2 linked regions of the Arabidopsis thaliana genome follow. The protein of the gene in region 1 interacts with the protein of each later gene in a pairwise test. Each region holds a gene or a part of one and is shown in the gene's direction. Other genes may lie near its edges.

Evidence for each region.
Region 2: the proteins of AT1G47655 (region 1) and AT1G50680 interact in a two-hybrid assay, tested with the Arabidopsis thaliana proteins (one large-scale study listed by BioGRID).

Annotation. Positions count from the first base shown.
Region 1 is NC_003070.9:17,523,647-17,526,958, forward strand, and holds AT1G47655 (Dof-type zinc finger DNA-binding family protein), read left to right. Parts: upstream 1-1,695; 5' UTR 1,696-1,790; coding exon 1,791-2,420; 3' UTR 2,421-2,662; downstream 2,663-3,312. UniProt on the Arabidopsis thaliana protein: Transcription factor that binds specifically to a 5'-AA[AG]G-3' consensus core sequence.
Region 2 is NC_003070.9:18,777,050-18,780,679, reverse strand, and holds AT1G50680 (AP2/B3 transcription factor family protein), read left to right. Parts: upstream 1-2,065; coding exon 2,066-3,079; downstream 3,080-3,630. Other genes in the region: AT1G50690 (Cystatin/monellin superfamily protein), read right to left, coding at 168-177, 273-616, 739-912.

The DNA of each region.
Region 1 (3,312 bases):
GATACTTTCTCTCCAGTGGCAAAGATGACTACAATCAAGTTGTTATTGAAGATTTCTGCCTCTAAGAAATGGTTCTTAAAACAGCTTGATGTGTCTAATGCTTTCTTGAATGGTGAGTTAGAGGAAGAGATTTACATGAAGTTACCTGAAGGTTATGCGGCAAGGAAAGGTATCACTCTACCTCCTAATTCAGTCTGTCGATTGAAGAGATCCATTTATGGTTTGAAACAGGCCTCTCGTCAGTGGTTTAAGAAGTTTTCTGCTTCATTACTTGATTTGGGTTTTAAGAAGACACATGGTGATCATACTTTGTTTATTAAAGAGTATGATGGAGAATTTGTGATTGTTTTGGTTTATGTTGATGATATTGCTATTGCGAGTACAAGTGAAGGTGCTGCAATACAATTGACTCAGGATTTACAACAGCGATTCAAGTTAAGAGATCTTGGGGATTTGAAATATTTTTTGGGTCTTGAGATTGCTAGAACTGAAGCTGGTATTTCTATCTGCCAGAGAAAGTATGCTCTTGAGTTATTAGCATCTACTGGTATGGTTAACTGTAAACCTGTTTCAGTTCCCATGATCCCGAATGTGAAGATGATGAAGACTGATGGTGATTTGTTGGATGATAGAGAACAATACCGTCGTATTGTAGGAAAGCTGATGTATTTGACAATTACTAGACTTGACATCACCTTTGCAGTTAACAAGTTATGTCAGTTTTCCTCTGCTCCTAGGACGTCTCATCTTCAAGCTGCTTATCGAGTTTTACAATATATCAAAGGCAGTGTTGGCCAAGGTCTGTTCTATTCTGCATCTGCAGATCTTACTCTTAAAGGTTTTGCAGATTCAGATTGGGCTTCCTGTCCAGATAGTAGGAGATCAACAACTGGATTCAGCATGTTTGTGGGTGATTCATTGATATCTTGGCGTTCCAAGAAACAGCATGTGGTTTCCAGATCTTCTGCAGAGGCTGAGTACCGTGCCTTAGCACTGGTTACGTGTGAACTGGTATGGCTTCACACTTTGCTCATGTCTTTAAAAGCTAGCTACTTGGTTCCTGTGTTATATTCTGATAGCACAACTGCTATTTACATCGCCACAAATCCTGTGTTCCATGAAAGAACGAAGCATATAGAGCTAGATTGTCACACGGTTAGGGAGAAACTAGACAATGGCGAGCTGAAGTTGCTTCATGTGCGAACTGAAGACCAAGTAGCGGACATTCTTACTAATCCGTTATTTCCCCATCAATTCGAACACCTTAAATCCAAGATGAGCATTCTTAATATCTTTTCATGCACATCTTGAGGGGGCATATCAGATATGTATATTGGTTTAGTTGGTATTAGTTGGTTTAGTAGAACCATTGTATAGTGTAAAGTATATAAGACATTTGTACAGAATCATTTTACAATTAATGAGAAAAGGCTTCATAATATCTTCAACAAACTTTTCTCTCATCTCTATTCCGCTAATAATTCATTTTAACGAAGTAAATACTATTTTTAAATCCACTCTCATATTTTAACCATTTTTTAGTTAAATTTAATATAGAAGAAATTATTTTTAAAAAAAACTAAATATGAATTAAATTATTTTTAGAAGGGGAAAATAAATTAAATTCATATGTATCAATTAATAAATAAAAGGCAACTGAAAAAAACGTCTAAAAGCCTCTATATAAAAACCACATCACCACTCTCACAACATCCCCTTCTCTTTCGCTTTCTCTCTTCTCTCTTCTCTCCATTAACTTCTCTCTCGTTTTCTCATACTCTCAACTTAATATGCCGTCGGAACCAAACCAAACCCGACCCACCAGAGTTCAGCCCTCAACGGCGGCTTACCCACCGCCAAATCTGGCTGAGCCTCTTCCTTGTCCTCGCTGCAACTCCACCACCACCAAGTTCTGTTACTACAACAACTATAACCTCGCTCAGCCTCGCTACTACTGCAAATCTTGCCGCCGTTACTGGACTCAAGGTGGTACACTCCGTGACGTCCCCGTCGGTGGTGGAACTCGTCGAAGCTCCTCAAAACGTCACCGTTCTTTCTCCACCACTGCCACCTCCTCTTCCTCCTCTTCTTCCGTCATCACCACCACGACACAAGAACCAGCCACGACTGAAGCGAGTCAAACTAAGGTTACTAATTTAATTTCAGGTCATGGAAGCTTTGCTTCTCTGTTAGGTTTAGGAAGTGGAAATGGTGGGTTGGATTACGGGTTTGGGTACGGGTACGGGCTTGAGGAGATGAGTATTGGGTATCTTGGAGATTCTTCCGTAGGAGAGATTCCGGTGGTTGATGGTTGTGGTGGTGACACGTGGCAGATTGGGGAGATTGAAGGTAAAAGTGGAGGAGACAGTTTGATATGGCCTGGTCTTGAGATCTCAATGCAAACCAACGATGTTAAGTGAAAATGAAACCGTTTCTGATTTCTTGCCTTTGTCTTCTTTTGTTGGTGTCTTTTTGGAAATTTCTGTTTGTTTTCTTTTTTTTCCTAGAAAGAAGAGCAAAAGAAACCAAATTGAAGCAAAAATGTTTTTATTTATTTTAGTTTTTGAGGTCCAACAATTCTGGTGTATAAATCCTCTGTTTATGTGACGAACATATTGGAATGGATTTACAAGTAAAAAGTAAAAACGTTTCTTTCTTTTTATTTTGGTTGGTTAATATTTTGAAAGGAATAGTCAAATGTAGAAAGATGAATTGAGCATAAAAGTCCAAAAAGGGAAAAAGTACATAAGTACTGTTGCAGAAGTGAGTAAGAGATGCTCTGTTGCTACATCTTTGAAATGAGGAAATTGCGTTGAACTTAATTTTGTTTGTATTATAGATAAACATCAACAACAACATTGTTCATTTGCAGTGTAGAAGATTTTGTATATCAAAGTCATGTGAGTCTAGTGTTTAGCATATGAGACAATTCATATGAATGCTAAGAACTAAAACCTTTCATTCGATCAATGGATTAGAAATTCTTAGGGTTAATGTAGATTATGGTGTACTTATCAGCTAGTGTTATTTTTTTGTAAAAATCTTTAGGTTTAATCCTTGTGTCAAACATCTCAGCTAGAGTGTACTTGGTTAAACGTTCAAATAAAATTTGAATGTAGGGAATATAGCTAATAGATATTGTTGTGTAGTCTCCTATTGTGGTCAAAGCAAGAAAAACGAATTGTGTTGAATATAATTAACGGTAACTACATCATGACTATATTGAGAATGATGCTCAAGTTTATTACCAACTAATAAAACTTTTGCCCACCTAAATCAATCAACAATGTTCAGTCAAAGCGTAATCAGCTC
Region 2 (3,630 bases), 1.3 Mb from region 1:
AACAAAGTAAACAACTTGTCGCAATAGAAGTTAAAGATACACACAGCTTAATGGTACGAGAGTAAAAGATGCATAAGTTTATCCCAGAAACGGTAAAGAAGTTTGCAGATAAATAGAAAGTTGAGTAGAATGTCATTATACAAAGGAACATCCCGTTACATCTGCCACTACTTGGTCCTAAACAGTAAACACACAAAAAAAAACAAGATTTTACCAAAACACATATCAATAACAACTTAAACTTAGTAGGATGGGAAAATTTTAGAGCTTACGAATCTAATAATGGTTTAGGGTGGACACGGTAGACCGTTTCAATCCCTCGAAGGTAGCGAACGGCAGCTTGAAAAGTAATGGGGTCAGTGTGAGAATTAGCATCCTTGGCCTCGAAGGTGATGTAGAAAATGAATCCGGCTCCATATTTCCGATTAGCCTTGACAGCTCTCACAAGTTCAAGATTTTCCAGCTTATCATCATTGTATTTCTGAAGAGCAATCTTGGATAATCTATGAACCAAATCTCCGTCGGTTTCGGGTTTATGAGCAACGTCACTATCCTCGAAGATAACAGGATAGCAAAACACAAGGCGTCTTTGTTTCGTGGTGTCAAAGTCGTAATACTACAGACAACAATCACATTCATGAGAGAAGCCGACATAATGCTTTTGAAATCACAGACAAAATCTCAATTCGAAAAAGTAAGAAGCGAAGGAGAGATTGGTGGATCATTACAACTACATACCCCGCTTCTTTGGTATTCTTCTTCGACCAATCGTTCATCTTCCGAATCGAAACTACACGTCGACTCGCTGTACGAAGACATCTCTTCGCAATCCTCCTCCTCCTCCTCCTCCAGCTTCTGACGCTTCAGATCAGGCTCCTCAGATTTCTTATCGACCACCACCTGCGGATCCATAACTATGGCAGATTAGATGAAACCCTAATTCTCTGTTTCTTCTATCATTCAAGATAAAAAAAAGGTCCCTCTTCTATTTATAGTGTGCACAACAAACAAAAAACAAAAAGAAAAAAAGTGACTAAGAAAATATCAAGCCTCCAAGAGAGAAAATTCGTGTAGAGACACTAAACTAGCTAGTAGATGATTATTGTAAAACCTTATCATCATTGTGGTTGTTAAAATTAATCTAGATCGGTTAAATTTGGTTAAAAAATACTCACTAGTTTTCAAAGTTAAAAATCCAAATCCGGAAAATTAAAAGTCAAATCAAATCATAACTATTCCTTCCTTTCGTATAATCAAGTAGACGAAATCTCATCAAAATTAAATTTCTGAAGTTTTAAATTAGGAATCTCAGATGTCTTATTTGCCCATCACGGAAGCAGATGTGTAACCCTAATTGGTCGTGATCGTGGTGATTGCAAAAGCCTAATTGTTGTACATCATTAAACGTACGTTTTGTATTCTTTCCATTTACTGTGTACCTTTTTCTGCTTCTCAAAACTTGCTAAATTTTTACATAGAGAAATATTTTTGTTAATTTTTCTTTTGTTTTTAGTTGACTTATTGGAAAACAAATAATAATGAAGAAATAAAAAAAATACTCAACCACATGAGATGAGAAACGTTTTGTTAATGAATGATAAAATTAGGGTAAACATAAAACCCTAATAAGTTACTTGATGATATTTTCCAGCGGCTCTCTCACGTATTTCCATTTTTTATCCAATCAGATATATCAAGTAATTAATGAACCGACGAAACATGGAAATTCTTTAATTTCAATACTTTCCATAATTTTCTCTCATAGCTAAATTATAGAAACTACAACAAATAGAAAATGGAAAATGATAACTTGATAAATACTCAAGCACCGCAAGAAACAACAAGATTAAGAAACACAATTTGCTCCCACGATTTGCTCTCTTTATATAGTTCTCTCTCTGTTCCTCATATTTCTTCATCGTTTTGTTTCGCTTCTCTTTCTCTGTCTCTCGTATCTTTCTACTACTCTGTTTCTTGAATTCTAATGAACAACATCGACGACGCAAAGACGGAGACTTCAGTGTCTTCAGGTTCAAGCGACTCTTTCTTGCCTCTCAAGAAACGCATGAGACTTGATGACGAACCAGAAAACGCCCTAGTGGTTTCGTCTTCACCAAAGACGGTTGTGGCTTCTGGCAATGTCAAGTACAAAGGAGTCGTTCAGCAACAGAACGGTCATTGGGGTGCCCAGATTTACGCAGACCACAAAAGGATTTGGCTTGGAACTTTCAAATCCGCTGATGAAGCCGCCACGGCTTACGATAGTGCATCTATCAAACTCCGAAGCTTTGACGCTAACTCGCACCGGAACTTCCCTTGGTCTACAATCACTCTCAACGAACCAGACTTTCAAAATTGCTACACAACAGAGACTGTGTTGAACATGATCAGAGACGGTTCGTACCAACACAAATTCAGAGATTTTCTCAGAATCAGATCTCAGATTGTTGCGAGTATCAACATCGGGGGACCAAAACAAGCCCGAGGAGAAGTGAATCAAGAATCAGACAAGTGTTTTTCTTGCACACAGCTTTTTCAGAAGGAATTGACACCGAGCGATGTAGGGAAACTAAATAGGCTTGTGATACCTAAAAAGTATGCAGTGAAGTATATGCCTTTCATAAGCGCTGATCAAAGCGAGAAAGAAGAGGGTGAAATAGTAGGATCTGTGGAAGATGTGGAGGTTGTGTTTTACGACAGAGCAATGAGACAATGGAAGTTTAGGTATTGTTACTGGAAAAGTAGCCAGAGCTTTGTCTTCACCAGAGGATGGAATAGTTTCGTGAAGGAGAAGAATCTCAAGGAGAAGGATGTTATTGCCTTCTACACTTGCGATGTCCCGAACAATGTGAAGACATTAGAAGGTCAAAGAAAGAACTTCTTGATGATCGATGTTCATTGCTTTTCAGACAACGGTTCCGTGGTAGCTGAGGAAGTAAGTATGACGGTTCATGACAGTTCAGTGCAAGTAAAGAAAACAGAAAACTTGGTTAGCTCCATGTTAGAAGATAAAGAAACCAAATCAGAGGAGAACAAAGGAGGGTTTATGCTGTTTGGTGTAAGGATCGAATGTCCTTAGGGAATTTTTCTTTAAAAGTTTCTTACTTCAACTAGAACTTGTTTTACTTGTACCTCATGAATTTTTATTAACAAAATTGTTTTACTTAACTAGAGATTGGTTTACTAAATGATTTTCTCAATGCTTCGTTACTGGTTTAGATTTCGATAACCATTATCAAAGTGAGCTACTCGCAATGCATAACCACCAAGATTGCTAGTTTACTCATGACAAGCTCAGAAGCTTTTGGCCTTATAAGAAGAAAGACTTAACCAAAAAATCTTATCAATAGTATTTGTTAACTGGTCAATTAGTTTTTATCAATTTCTCAAGAATAAAAGAGTAAAAAATGAAAAGAAAAAAAAAATGTCACAAATAAAACTTACTAAAGATTATTTATGAACTTAATAAATTTGAATAATTTTATAAAAATAAATGTAAAATCAACTGAAAATTTATTTTAGAGAAATTCTATTTAACAACATCCAACAAAAAGTAAAAAAGATTATAATATTTTTCTTTGTTCCAACGCAAAATTACATTTTTTTGTTTTTGAACATAATTACGATTTT